Struthio camelus: one gene and its partner. The protein of the gene in region 1 purifies or fractionates together with the protein of each later gene. This does not show direct contact. Links are inferred from orthologs where the notes say so. Each region holds a gene or a part of one and is shown on either strand. Other genes may lie near its edges.

Region 1 (7,914 bases):
GTCAACAGCTGATACCGTGACATTGAGCCTGTATACACATTTGTATGTTTGCATTATCTCACACCTAACATGCTACTAACGTTGTAATGTTCAAATCCAGGTTCAAATGGTGTACTTCAGTTTCTTGCTTTCTAGTAACCAAATGAACACAACTTCTGTAACACAAATTGCTTCTGATGACTTCTAGCAGTGGTGCTGCTTTTAAGGAATAGTATTTTATTCCTTCTCTTTCCCCCACTCTGTCGCATCTCTTTTGTCAGCACTTTCTTAAGCAACTAGCCCCCCCAATACACATATAGGAAGAGGTAGATAACATATGCACTTGAACTGTGAGATAGAGGAAGAGCTGCAGGATCAAAATTCTCCCTGATCATGACTGTCCCTGCTCTAGCTATCATCTGAAGGAGCATCAGTCCCTTGTTTTGCAGGGGTTAAAACAGAGTTGAGAACAAATTTTGTGAAGGGGCTACTTCCATCTAGCGCAGGTACGTAATTCGTATTTGTGCCTCTACAACATCATCCACAGCAACAGAAAGTTGAACTGTCCAGAGACTTCCGCAATATCACCACAGGCCAAAGAAAATATTCAAGGGGAAAAAGCAGCATAATTCCATGTTATGCAAGAAAAGCCACACACAGGTAAATTTTGAAATTGAAGTGTTTAGTGTCCAGATATAGGAAATATTTAATAAATAAATGTTAAAAAGTTGTTTTAAAGTATTTTTAGTAACAGTTTGGGATTGCAAATAACATCATAGAAATAGCTGGTTAAATACAACCTTTCTCTACTGTACTACTTGTAGCAAACTTCATAATCATAAAAGTGACTTCCATTGTTACTTGTATCAATTTTACATTTGTCAAAAACATTACAACATTTAAATCAACATACAAGAGTAAAAAAAAAAGTATTTTAAACAGAATAGAAGCAGAATTGTTAGCACTGTGATTTAAATTTTCCTGTTTTTATCTTTAGACACAATTGAAGGTTACTGTTTACAAAACAAGTTTTACAAAATTTTGGGCGTGTGCAGTTAAAAAAATGACAGGGCCAATGCGCTTCCATAGCTGTGTTCATTGCCACAAATCTTCCGTGCGACCAAATTTGAAGACCAGTCCTCTGTTTAAAACAGAACAAAGAGACATATGTACATAAGGGAGCAGACTAAACACCTAATGTTTTAGATATACGATCTCAGGGAGCAAGTTGCAGTACTTGTAAATCTGCGTCCTGATTCTGCAACCTATGTAGACTGAACCCAGGGCATTACTGACTCTACCCGCAGTCTGTCCACACATATCTAGTTACAAAATAGGGCTTAAGGAAAATCAATTATAGTAAGTTTCAGTTTTAATTGTTAAAAATAAATTTACATGAGAAATGAACAAGGGAAAACAGGCTTACCCAAAAAAGATGAATGCATTCTGGAAAAACACAGCTATTCCTGGGTATACTACTGCTTTTTCTTAAAAAAAAAAAAAAAAAAAAAAAAAAAATCCCATCAGTTTTTCAGAATTCCTTTTTCTCTTCAAGACTAGCCTGTCTCTGACATTCAGAAACACTAAATTGTATTATATTAGCAAAGATACAAGTTTCACTTAAAAAGAATACTTGGAAAGGACTTGCGTGTTGTTAAGCAGTTGCGCAGAAATGAATTTGATAGGAAATCATATTGTAATTGACCCCTCTAATAGATACAGAGATGAAGTGACAATTGCAAATTGTTGCAAACTAAAAATAATTGAAAGCTATAATGAGGGAAAATAAAAACTATAAAACTGTAATGTTTCAGGTACTTGTGTAGATGCTAGGAAAATACATTTGCAAAAATGGTAAAAAATATTCTAAAATTCAGTATTTGTTAAATGAGCAAGGTTCCGCACCTAATCCAACAATTTTTTAGTACTGGCGCTGCTACATAACAAATCTGCCTAACCTGGATTGTTCTTTCTTGGAACTGGATAACATTATGTGTCTGGTATATGTCTTTCATTCTCTAACAAGATGACCCCCCCCCCCCCCCCCCAAATCTCTATTGGTCCATGGTCCCAACTGGTGTGAAACAGAAGACTAAGCATAAGGCTAACCCACACTGGAAAGTTAATTCAATACCTTTTGCACACACACCCCTATGCAGTTAGCTTTCCAACTCTAAAACGGATGTAGGGGCTATTTCACAAGAGGAAGCTTCTCCTGCACTCTAACCTAAAACGTACATTTCAAATGCAGTGATCTCAGAGAGTGTAATTATCCTGAGGGATTGCACATCCTGTACAGGGCACATGGGTGCATGTATAAATATATGCATATATATTTATATATAATGACAACATACAAAATGTGAGTGCGCTTTAGTAGCACAACTATGCAAGTAACACACCTAGATTTCCTTGAAAATTCCCCGTGAACTGAGTAATGCAGAAGCTGAAAAGAATGAATGTACATTAACTCAGATCATTTTTATTCTAGGATTAAGTGTTTACACAGGGAATTATTCCCATAAACTTCAGCAGTTTAAGAACACAACTCTGGGCCACATGGGAAACGGCAGTGATATGATTAATGAGGCTGATTAACAGCCTTTTTCTATAGAAAGCAGACTAACAATAACCTTCTTAAGGAATAGAAATTTCGCTAATAGTACATAGTATGGAATAGGGGCGCTCAGGGAACCAAAATATTAAAAATGGGCCTTCCCAGAAACAATCTGAAACCAAGTTCTAAAGTTCAACAGACATTTAAAATACTTTGAAGTAAATTATCAAAAATGCGTCAGGTCACGTTCCGTATCGCGTCTTACCTTTGACAACATAGCCTCCAAAAAGGATCCACATGGAAGCGATCAGAGATCCAAAAGCCATCATAAAACCGATGAATAGCCAAATCCGTGCACCTTAAAAAAAGACATTTTGTGTATGGATGTTTTGTGCCCGTGTCCGAGTACAGATACTTGTAACTTTCAACATGCTTTTGTTTCAGAGGCTTTATAATTTGCAATTTTTTAAAAATCACCTTACCTGTTTGTCCTAGACAGCCTTCACTGTAACTGTCACCCCGAACTTGTCCGTTAGACACTGCATTGATCCTGTTTAAGCAAAACAAGATCAAACTAGGTAGCACTGGTGAAACAAGATGTAAACATTTATAAGCAACAGGAGAAACTTCTCAGAAACCCATATAAAACGGGTGGTGCTTTCTTTCTTACAAATGTTTTGTAGTTTTTTTTTTTAAAGGGGGACACGGGTAAAACTTGAAAAAGTCATTTCTCCCGATACAAACTAATAAAACTTGGATCTGTACAACACACCCTTAACTTTTTTAAATGGTTCCTTCCTATAAATATAAAAAATAGGATAGATATTAGAGATGCTTTAGATACTAACTTGATTTTTTATTCTTTGTTACCTCTCACTTTAAAGTCTATGTGTTCTTTTATTAATTGCACAGATTAAGTTCTAGGAGTGCGTAGCTCTGATCAAGAAATTACACTTACATTAGGAATGCAATAGTGGCTATAACCCCACAAGCATGGTACGAATGGTTGAATTCTTCCGCTTCAGGGTATTTTACAGCCGCATCTATGATTATCCACCAACCTGTAAAAAACTATTTAAAAAACCACAGGAGCTTAAAATACAGACATAACCCTTTTTATCAGTATACGAGTACCCTACCAAAAATAACATTAATATATAAAACCATTGTTATAGTCCAGTCTAGATTCAACTAAGGCACAACCAGGTTTGCTATCAACTTCATTAGGAACAATAGTAAACGCAAAGCCAGCGAGATACCTCCTGAGAGTTAGTGCACGTTATACAGGTAAAAGCTGAGAAAGTTCCTAGTGCGTCTTTAAAACGTCTCTACAGAAAACATTATAGAACAGCTAAGATTGTTCTTTTGAAGAGCTAACCTCGTTTGGGAAAGCATTCTTTGGATGCAAAGGCCTAGCTAGGCGTAGGCTCTAACTCTGCTGCTACGTACACTGCCAATATACCCCCCCCCCCTTCTTCCTTTTGCTTCCAAACGCCTAATTTTCAGCTCACTGGCAGTTAACTCCATGCAAAAAAGCCCCAGTAGGCTACGAAAGCGGCTGTACGCACTAGCACTCCTGCAGCAACAGAAGCGATCGTGTTCCGTTTTTCTCCCCAGTCCACGCACTCCGAGCACCTCAAGCTCTCAAGAAAGCCAGACATTTTTCAGCTCTCCGAAGAACTGGAAAAGAAAAATAGGAGCCTTTATTTCAAAGAGGAAATTTATCACGCATCAACTGGAGGCGGTGAGCCTCCACTGCAACGATACCGCACAGCGCCTGGCCGCCAACACCCCCCGGAAGGCCCCGGCGAGGCGGCGGCCGCAGAGCTGAGGCGCAGACGGGAGGCGCCGCGGCGGGACGCCCGCGCCGGAGGTGGGCGACACGCGGCGATGCCGCGGGCACCGCGGGAGGGGGAGAAGGCACGGGACGAGCGGCCTGTGCCGCCCGGGGAGCGCGCACGCCCCGCAGGGGCTGCCCGCCGCCGCCGCTTACCTCAGCGCGGGGGAAGGGCCGTCGCCGGCGCCCCGCCGGCGCGCGCGGCAGCCCCAACCGCCGCCAGGGAACGGGCCCCGCCGCGCAGCACCAACCGTCGCCAGCGCGCGCACTGCGCAGGCGCGGCCCTCAGCTGATGCGCACCGGGAGAGTCATGAGACCAAGCGGCTGCGCGCATGCCCAGTAGGGCCAGGCAGGCAGCCGGCACATCCTTCTGCGCATGCGCCAGAAGAAAAAAGGCGACGGGGGCGACCGCGGCCAATACGCACGCGCACCAGTCTCGCTGTGGGCGGGTGTTGGCCTTCGGCGCATGCGCCTTGGCTTCCCCGTTACGCAAGCGGGGAGCGGGCCGGGGGGGGGGGTTCTGGAAATTTCTCGGCCGTTCTCAGTCGCTCTCAGTCGCTGCTGGGAGGCGGGAGCGGTTGGGGACGGTGCTGCGCTGCGCTGCGTGGGCTGCGCTGTCGGAGGGCTCCGTGGGGCTGCGTCGCCGCTCGTTTCCTGAGGGGAAGGGTCCGTCCGGTCGCTATGGGGGTGACTCACGAAGCGGGGCTGTCGCCTCAGGCGTCGCCACAGGAGCAGGATCCGTGGGGAGGTGGCCCAGCTGCCTGGAGCCGGTGAGTCAGCGGGGCCCGGGCTCGGAGCGGGGGCGCTGGGCACCCTCCCGGAGCCGGTGCCGGCGGGAGGAGTTGGCGGGGATGCTAGGGGCGGCGGGACGGCGGCGGCCGTTACTCGCCTGTTCCTTGCCGGGGGGAGGGAGGGGGAATGCGGGCCGGCTTCAGGAGGGGACGGGGGACAGTGGGTGTAGGGTAGCCCTGGGGCTGGCAAACAGACTCCACATATCTCTCTTTGTAACAGGAACGCCCAGGTTCCCCCAGGGAACCGGCACCTGGGATGTCCGGCAGCCCCCAGCGGTAAGTGCCAGAGCGAAATCGAGTCCCCTTGAATTCCCCCAGCAGCGTTCATGCAGAGAGGTGCGCGGAGGGCAGCGCTTACACCTTGTCGGTGCCCGTTCACAATTTGGCAGGTGCAGAACGGTTGTATGAGGATATCTGTGATACGCTCCAATACTCTACAGTGTTGAAAATATTACTGTTTAGGTAGCTTAGTATGTTATGGGGAGTTAGCTCAGAATTAATAACTGTTTTGTGTGGAATGCGTTCTGTGCAATGGTTGTGAGCTTTGCACTTGTTTAGAGGTGAGGTAGTGAAACTTGCTTCTAGTAGTAGTGAGGGGAATACTTCTTGTGGAAGGTTATAGAGCTGTTTGGTGCTCTTGATAAGAAGGCTGTAAGACTGGTTGGGTAACTCTTGTTTACAGTGAGCACCAAATACGACTTTTATCGTGAAGTGGGCTTTCTTGAACTGTAAAGCGGTGGCATAACTAAGAACTTGAGATAGGATAGTTACACAACTAGGATGCAGTAACCTTTGTATATGTAAAATGGCTGCCAGTAAAGGAGGGCAGCCATTTCATTTATTAATATATCACCTCAGGTAGTGTTTCATTCTTAATAAATCATCTCCAATAAGGCATTAGCTGTATCTCTCACAAATTGTGTAGAGTAGCTTTTGTAACAGTGGCTTGCTATGCATACTGTATAAAGTGTGCGTGGAGTACTGTTCAGAGATAACTTAGTAACGTAATAGTCAAGATCTTGAAGTGGTACTTTTCTAACTTGGAGATATATAGATACGTATGTATATTTTTGTGTTTGAAGTAGCTACTTCATCTCTACAGAATTGCAGGAATAAACTTGATTTTATGCTAACCTTGAAGACATATGACTTCTGCAGCTGAGATACCTTGGTAGTAAACTATATTTAGAATAGTCTGGCCCAGCCTTGAAAGTTCTGTTAAGAAAATCTGAATTCATACCCTTTTCATAAAAGTATGCTTACACTGAATGAAGGGTATTAAACTAAAAACCCACACAAACTTCTCAGAGTACCCCAGAGAATTACTCATGGTTTAAACTGAAGTTGTTTTTTCTTTCATATAGAAGACTCTTGGCCGTAGGAGAGGAAATGATGAAACCTAAAATTGTCATAGGTAAAACATGCTGATAAACTGGGTGAGAATTGTCATTGTGTTTGATTACTCTTAAACTGTTTGCCAGTGGTTGTCATAACGTTTGTCTGTGGCTGCTGTATAAATGACCTGGCTGCCTCATTTCTGTTCCCGGCCCCCCTTTCTGAACAGGAACAGAAACTGGCTTTTGTAGAATACCAATAAAAACAGAGCCAACTTCCAGTACCTGCATGGAGAAAATGAAGGTTAGAAAGACCGATGACATGACAAACTTCATGGATGACTTAACCCTCAGCTCTCCTAAGAAAAGAGAATCTTGTCTGAGATCCAGAAGAAGTTGTGATAGGTCATCAACAAGGTCATCTAGCAGATCGTCTTACAGTTCACAGTCCAGTTCAAGCAGTTCCTCTTCAGCTTCCTCAAGGAGCTGGAGCCGGTCTAGATCCAGATCACGATCGTGGGGTAGAAGAAATGGTTGCCGAAGGTACGGAAGATATTCTCGATCATATTCCAGAAGCCGGTCGAGATCACGTGGTGGCTACATGAGGTACCGAGGAAGGTACCGTACCAGACACTACAGGCGGTACTACCGTTCTCCTCCAAGATACAGATCACGCAGCAGGTCGTGGTCACGTGGAAGATCATGTTACAGAAGGTCCTATTCAAGAAGCAGATCACGTTCAAGAGGCCGAAGATATTATGGATTTGGGCGAACGGTATATCCTGAGGCTTACAGGAGCTGGAGAAGCAGGTCACGAACGAGATCTCGTAGTAGATCACCTCTGCACTTGAGTGAAAAAGGTACTTTTTTAGTGAGAGTTTCATTGTATGTGAGAAAACTCAACAATATACTATTTATGCTAACTGGTCAAGTTCTAATCTCTAGATTTGCTTTATAGAACAAAACTGATAACGGCAACGTGGAAGAAATCTCCACATAGTTATATATAGTTTTTTATATATTTTTATAACTAGGTAGCTTGGAATATGTTCTTAGCCCTTAAACTGAAGCGAAACTTTACAAGTTCTGATCACAATCGTTCAGAGTTGATACTTAGAAAAGTGCAGTGTTAGTATACCTGCAGTTCCTAGGCTAGTAAGAGTAGCTACATACTGATCTAAATGCAAGAAAATGACGCTCTCTCCCTCTTGTAGAGAAGAGGGAGCTTCTGGAAATTGCAAAAGCTAATGCTGCAAAAGCCCTGGGGACAGATAAGATAGTCTTGCCAGCGAGCTTGAAGGTCATTACTCCTTCCAAAGAGACAAATAACAAAGAGCTAGAGCATGAAGATCTTGGCGAGTCAGTTGAGGTAAGTATGAACTGGAGTATTCCCAATGAAAAGGTAAAGACTTACAA
Region 2 (7,666 bases), on another chromosome or scaffold:
TTAGAGGAAGACAATGAAAAATGGCATGACTCAATTAAGTTCTCCAAAAGAGAAGAGCACAAGAAAAAAGGAAGGCATAATAAATAAATAAATAAAATCCGTAGGAGCCAAATTGATTAAGAGCTGTAAACATAAGGATAAAGAATATACATATGATGAACGGCAAGTTGATGAAAGGTGAAAGGCAACATAGGCATGTAGTTTTGATGAGCACCAGATGGAATGGAAAGGATGTGCTTTCACTAAAGGAAAAAGATTTGACTTCAAGTTGCGCCAGCCAGATCACGGTAACCAGCACCAATACCACCCTCGTCAGTTCTCACGTTCATCCAGTTTAGCCAGCTGGTAAACCTGGGGCTCTCTGGTCTGTATTTCACCCTTCTTACCTGTGACTCATATAGCAATAATCAAGCGGAACATCCCTTCTCCTAGAAGGATGCCTATAAAAATCCCAGAAGAGACCCAAGAGGAGCATCTTGATGCCCAGAACAGGACAAAGCAATGGAGGGAAACTCATCCAATCACAAGTCCTTACAGACCTATTTGAAACACCACGGATGTAAGGAAAAGTTTTTTCCTGGCCTGGGTAAAAATACAGTTATTCTGCACTTCAGAAGAATGACAAAGCCAGAATAGTGTATTTTCAGTCCCTGCTACTGGCAAAACTAGTGGAAATGGTTCCTGTAGACCAACTCAAATGAGTATTCATGAATCAAATTAACCTAGCACCACCCAATCCAAGAACAATCGTTTACTGCTTTACACATATAGCAAGCTTTCTTTACAAATACAGCACCCTGTAAAACGTTTGCTATGTAAACAGATTAATAATGCTAATCACTTTCTCCCTACAGCATTAGTCAACTCTCTGTCTTATCAATTTAAGCTGTAAGGTTCAAATCAAAAATCACCAGAAACAGTTTTTAAAAAGACCCATCACAACAATGTCAGAATTAGAGGCAGCAAGCAATACTGTACAAAGCAACAATCAGCCTTCCTTCATGCTTGACAGAACAAAACGGGGAAAGTGCAGAGGTGTCAATGTCTCCCACTATCGCTTTCTATTTTAAAGTAATACTGTTCAACCGAGCAGGTCCGAGACAACATGCAAGTCATGAAAATCAAACTTTGAAAAGACTAAGCAGCAAAATCTTGCAAATAAAAGAGAGACGCTAAGGGAAAAGGGGCACCAATTCCTTCTTATTCTTCTGCTCTGTGTTCTGCCAGAGTCACAAACAGGGGAAGTAACAGTGCAGAAACACAGCCCCAGCAGGAAGGCAACAGGGGTGGGTGCAGCAAAAAGACCAAAAGGTGTTCCTGACTGCTGCATCAGCTAGACTATCACTAGACTCTCTTCATCTGTAAAATCATCCTCCCTAGTAACACAGCTACAGAGAATGTCAAAATCAGCCAGTATCTGAGCAGACCAGGAGAACGTTGTTATATTGCACGAAACAGAATATCCCCATCAGTTTTGCTCTGGCAGTATCTATCTGCACTATACTCGCAGCCATAAATTATTCAACTTTGAGGGCTTCTGCACTCGTGAATTTACACCAGCACTACTGGATTCAATTAATTGTTCTGAATTACTTAATTAGCTATCAATATCCTACTTGGAACTGATAAAAAAAAGTTAATAAAGAAACTGAACAGATGTACTCTTACGATAAAATGGTATTTGTGCTTGGGTTACCCTAATTTAGTTTCATATAATGAACTTTCAATTGTAAGAGTGAAATCTTCACCTCTAGACAATCTAAGAGCAAACTAAGAGAATAATTCAGTTCTCTCCCTTGTCTGCTCATCTGATCCAACATTCCTAAATGGTATACCTTTGTGAGACTGCTAATCTTCTGAATTACTTTATCAATAAATACCTAAAGAATTCAAGTTTCCTGAGACACTTATGAGTTGCTATCCAAATTAACTGCGACTTCCACAACCTATTGTCTCTCAGTTCTCTGTAGGGCAGGCAGGCAGGCAGAGCGCTGGGCCTCACTCAGTAAGCCTGGTAAATCTGTGGAAGCAAAGCCGTGCTTGGTTATTTACGTTCTAGGGCAGGAACAACGCAATCTGGGGCAACACAACCTAGAGAAGTGGCATGGTTGCAAACACGACAGATGGCACGCAAATCTGATTCAAACATCAGATTTCAGCGGGAAAGTAGGAATGTTACTTTTTGGGAGAGATACGAGGAAAAAAGGAAGCAGAGGAATCGGCTACTTGTAAGCCAGGGAAGTCCTGTTTATTCCAACACCACTTCCTCACCAAAAGGGAGCTCCTCCTGTAGAGGAGGGAAGTAATGTCTTTTCTAAGGAGCAGGCGAGAAGAAAGAGTGAAAAGAAGACAGTTTCTCCTCTCCTGCGTAATAGAGCCGCAGTAGTTCAACCTCCCCCGCAAAGAGCGGCCGAGAAACGGCTCCCGCACGGCGACTTCTTTTTTTTTTTTTCTTTTAAAAACTCATGGGCGAACAATGGCAGTATTTCCCCTCCGCCGCCGGGAGGGAGCCACTCTCCCCACCACATCCGGGAGGGTCCCGTCTCTGACGGCCTCCTCCTCTTGCGGCGGGAGCGGGATTTTGCTCCGCTGCTGCGCGGCCACTGGCGGAGGGAGGGCGGGAAGGCAGCCGCTCCCTCCCTCCCTCCATGCTCGGCGCCCGCTTCCCCTCCGAGACGGCGGCGCGGCCCTGCCTTCCCCTGCTGTCCCCGCCGCGGGCCGGGCCCGAAACGCGGCCTGGCCGCGGCGCCGGCCGAGCCCCATCCGCGCGGCGCGGCGAGGGGCACAGCGACGGCGCCATCGGGCCCGGCCGCCGCGGCAAAGCCTCAGCGCGGAGCCGGCCGAACAATGGCGCCGCCAGGCCCGACCCGGCCCGGCCCGGCCCCACCGCGGCGCCGAGGGCCCTGCAGGCGGCGCGGCGCGGAGCGGAGGGGAGGGGCCCGGCGCGGCCGCGCGTACCTGGTTGAACTCCTCTCCCACATCGGCGTAGATGTCGATGTGGTCCACGCCGTCCGCCATGATCCCGCCCGCCGCGCCGCGCCTCGGGCCGCCGCCAGCCGCGCCCGGCTCCCGAGCCGCCGCCGCCGCCGCCGCCGCCGCCAGGGGGGGAGGGCACGGCAGCACGCGTCACTTCCGCCAGGGGCGGGGAGGGGACGGGAGGGACTTCCGGCCGCCGCAGAAGTGGCGGCGGCCGTTGGGGCCGGGGCGGCGGCCGTTGGGGCCGGGGCCGGGGCGGCGGGGGGGGGAGCGGCGCTGCCCGTCCTGCCGGCCCCCCGCCACTGGGCGCCCGCCGGGTTTTCCTGTTGCGGCCGGCGGCGGAAGAACGGTGATGTTACCGCACCCAAGCTGACGTGGCTGGGGCGGAATTAAAACAAGGTGAAACCATAGCTGCAAGCAGTAAAGATGCTTCAGTGGTAATTTCGGGCTGCTCCGGAAGGTCTTTCCCCGTGCCTGGGGCTGCTTGGCGGCGGCTGGGCCGGGGTTGCGTGTTGCAGCCCGGCCTGACTTCCCGCCTCGGGTGCGTGCCGCCCCCCTGGAAGGAAAGGCGGACGGACCAGCAAAGAGCGGAAACAGCAGAGGACCGCGGCAAGCGGGTCTGCTGGGGCACCTAGGAGCTGCTGAAGGGCTAGTCCCGGGGGTTCTTATCCAGCTCGTGGCACGTTAAACTATACGAGGGACAGGCCTCTGGTATCATTCCTGATGTCAGTGACTCGGGAAGGCAGACGCCTTCAGGCAGGGAGTCTGCTCGCAAACGCACTGGGAGTTTCCTGGTTATAGAGGAACTAGCAGGTCCGTTAGCCTTTGCAAGAGCGGAGGTATCAGCTGAAGAAACATGTTAGAGAGGGTAGTTAAACAAACAAACCCCCCTGCCTGAACTTTTAGTGCTGTTTCCCAACTGATAATCGCAAATTTAAAAAATTAAATTAAAAAAAAAAATCTAAATACCAGTTCACGTCTACGACTGTATAGGTCATGTGTGGATGAAATGATCCATTGGTTTTGCAAGGAAGATTGGCTTTTCCTCTGGATTTGTCACTGTGCATACAGATACTATTACAGCATTGAAATCTAAAAGGGTTCACAGATTTGCTTCATGATGAAATGATTTAGTGACTATGGCACTTAATAGTTTTGCCCATCTGGCTGTGCTGCACAAAGTTACTGAGGTCAAGACAACTTACCCCTTGCTGTCCTAATGATCGGATAAGAATTCATAGGAGACACTAGGCTGTGTGCAGTTGGGTGTTTTATATGCATCTGGGTATCTTAGGAAAGTTATGCATAGATTGTAATGATGTTTAATAAAAGGGCAAAGAAATTAAATATGAATGGGGAAGTCATTCCGCTCACCTCAGAAACCACCTGAGGGATCAGTAGCATTGGAAGGACCCTGTCAGGAGTCTTTGAAGAGGCAGGAAAAGACTTTGCCTCTTCTTTGCTCTGTAAGATAAGGAAGGGTCATCACTGAGACCCGTAGGGCCCTCTATGCTGTGTTCTGGGTTCAAGAGGCATTACCACCTTGGAGCTTTTCTAAACAGTTGCACTGGCTGGATTTATTGCATGCAGACCTCTACAGAATATACTGTGATTATTTTTATTCTTGCATACATATCATTAAGCAAATTCTGTAAACAGTGTAGGAGACTGTAAACATTATGCAAGCTGTTCTATTTACTTTCTGCTGTGTTTTCATTTTCTTCATGAGCAGACTCACTAAATATGTCTTCAACTTTCTTGTGGTCAGCAATAGCATCTTTGTGAATTATTATCTCTCCATGGAGCAACTTAACAATTGATCAACTCTGATGAAAATGTTAATGCTTTCTATTTTGTATACATCAAAATTATGTATACCATTCACTGCCTCCTCCCAGTAAAATTCAAAAGACTGAGGCAGAGAATGGGCTGAAAAAGAAATGTAATTATGAAAGAATATTTGTGGTGCAGCGTGGTCTGGGACAAGAGCCCTCATAAGCTTTGTTTGGGACAGTAAAAGCCATGGAATAGGAAGTAATTGCACAATTTCCAAAGCCGGAGGGTAACATGAGAGCAAATGGTGGCAGATAAGCTAATGTCTTGCTCAAGTTCCTCTTTCACACCATCGGATACTCTTCCATCTCCAGCTCTTGCTAGATATCAAAAGCAGGAGGAAGCCAGGACGCTGGCGACTATACCTGGGAAAGTGGTCTATACTTTAAGCTCATGTTTCACATTGATCCACAAGAGCCTGTTCATTTGTATGTTGTTTCACTGGTCTCTTCTGTTGTAATGACAGAAAGTATAATCCTGATCTTGAATACAGAAGCAACTGTGGGTGCTCTGAACCTCATGAAGCATGCACTGCTAGCCCACAAGCCTCTCTGTGCTTGCCTCTCTGAGGCCTTTCAGTGCCTCTTCTACTAGTATGTTAACAGCTGCAAGACGGAGGGGAGGAGAATGCTTTCCCCTCATCTTTGTTTGTATGTCATTACTTCAAAATACCTTTAAACGTCGGGCTTCAGGTAAAAGTGGCAGAACCAGCTTCAATATAATCCCAATTTTGAAAATATTCTATTTTTTCTACCATGAACACAGCAAAAATATATTTTTAAATTAAAAAAATAAATATATGTTAGAAATTTCCCTGAGGAGTGAAGACGAAGAATGATAAAGGAACTTTCCAACACACTTTTCATCTTAGTATCAGACTAAGCTGCTCACGCAGTAATGTTACAGACAACAAAGTGAAAAGATGAGAAATGATTCCAGAAAGTGCTGTGTAATCAGGATAGTGCTCAAAAGCAGCTTACTTGAGATCTACCTGTATGTGGTGTTGTATAAACTTACGTCCTAGCTTTGTTAGTCCCATTGCATTGAATATATGTTTTGTTTGTTTAGTCGTAGCCCTGAAGCTTTCGATCTTGCCAAAGCTGCCTGGAGCCACTGGGCATGCTCTTTTATTGTTTTTCTCCCAATAAAAGTATCCAAATGGTAAAAGTCTGTGCATTCCAAACTGTAAGAAATTGTCTCTTCCACTGAAGTGCCTTAGCACATAAAACTGCTCAGACAGCAGAGTGAGGAAGAAGCATGTCCCAAATGAGGTGGCAAATAGGCACAACTCCTTGCTTGTGTCCTTGTTTTAGAAGGCTGAAATTTCATGTTATGTTAACGCTAATGTAATTGCAGGTTGACAAGGAAAGGGATCATCATGTTCTCATTCCAAAAGAGGTAGTGGCACAGCCTGTGCAGGGAAAGGGGCAGTAAATACCTCCTCTTCTGGCTGCAGCCCACGGTTAGATTGGGTTAAGTGTAGCATGAAACTAAATCCTAAGAGCATCTGCAAGACCTCCTACTGACTCAACTGTGTAGGAAAGTATTTGTATAACTCATTTCTTGCCCAGGTTCCTCTTTTTGTAGGTATTCAATTGTTTTGGGCTCATGCACATAAGTATAGAGTTCCATCTCTTTTTTTTTTCCTACTTTTTCCTTCTTTTCTTTTGTCCGTCAGTCTACTCGTTCTGTTGGTTCAGCTCTTCACTCAGTGATTCGGAGGCGGGTTGAAAATTGCAGGGAATCAGGAGCTGATTCACTAATAGTGTGGATTTCCCAACCCTCAAGGCAGGAAGGTAAGTACAGAGCAAGGGATGGTAATAACTTCAATTGTCCAATTTGAATCCACTGCCTTATAAGCCATTAATCGGAAGGCTCAGTTGGCTCGAGAAAACTATGAAATCAAATTTTCAGCTTTAGATCACTCACTGTTTATTTGGATAGCTTCACTTTCTATTTGTTTAAAAACCTCTCTCCTTAACTTTATTTTTACCCTTACGTTCAGCACTAACCTGTTCTTTGCAATACCTTTCTGCAATTAATCTCCTCTTCTAAATTGGCTGAAACCTGTTAAATACGTTAAATGCATTAAACAGATCCTTCTTTGAATGCGCTATATGCATATGCAAACAAAGGAAAAGCACTATCTAAACTACTTTCAGATGTTGTTGATTTTTCAAAGTATTTGAGCTCTGGCGTAACTTAACTGCATAGGGTTTTGTGCATTTTTCTTTTTTTGATTTCTGTTTACTTCTGTTATCAAGAATTATTCTGAATTTGAAAAAAAGTCTTCACGATTCACTCATGCATTGCAACTGCCTCAGCGTTTTGGAGCACAGGCCGACACAACGCTGTTCCCCAGGCTTCTTCTCTTTACAGCTCAACTATTTAGAAGTCCAGACAAGACAACCCACAATGGTCGGGTTTGTTTTTGAAAATTATACACTTCCAGATTTCAGGAATGGCAATTTCAATAGTTACTATGCCATAAATAAGCAGAATTAAGTCTGGAACTAGAAGGTAACACGTTACTCAAACAACATGCCAACCCGTCTGACACTGGTCCTCAGCTACATCTACACAGCTCTGCTAGATTGCTCTGCTAGATCCCAGAAAGGCTCCTGAGCTGGAGCACTTTGTCTGCATCCAAATTATAAGCCTTTAAGCCATTTCTTCTGCGTCTTTTTTGCTACAATGCCTGTCACAAAAGCTGTTGCCACAACTCTGGAAAGACTCTTCCAGCGTTTTCACACCCTTGATTTGCATGCGCACTCTGGGGTCAAACACACAGCCCTATATACTGGCTCTGGGTGATTTGGGCCATTATCCAACACTGAGCTGTAGAAAAAAAGGGATT

What was found.
Region 2: the proteins of RSRP1 (region 1) and CPSF6 purify together in Homo sapiens (affinity purification with mass spectrometry; 3 studies listed by BioGRID and IntAct, with this or other methods). This does not show direct contact. The link is inferred for Struthio camelus from reciprocal best matches to the Homo sapiens genes RSRP1 and CPSF6.

What each region holds. Positions count from the first base shown.
Region 1 is NC_090964.1:7,464,745-7,472,658, forward strand, and holds the start of RSRP1 (arginine/serine-rich protein 1), read left to right. Parts: upstream 1-4,830; 5' UTR 4,831-5,054; coding exon 5,055-5,143; intron 5,144-5,384; coding exon 5,385-5,440; intron 5,441-6,728; coding exon 6,729-7,358; intron 7,359-7,712; coding exon 7,713-7,867; intron 7,868-7,914. Other genes in the region: TMEM50A (transmembrane protein 50A), read right to left, coding at 1,075-1,120, 1,406-1,466, 2,802-2,894, 3,019-3,086, 3,495-3,607, 4,105-4,197.
Region 2 is NC_090942.1:40,603,071-40,610,736, reverse strand, and holds the start of CPSF6 (cleavage and polyadenylation specificity factor subunit 6), read right to left. Parts: upstream 3,082-7,666; 5' UTR 3,019-3,081; coding exon 2,959-3,018; intron 1-2,958. UniProt on the Homo sapiens protein: Component of the cleavage factor Im (CFIm) complex that functions as an activator of the pre-mRNA 3'-end cleavage and polyadenylation processing required for the maturation of pre-mRNA into functional mRNAs.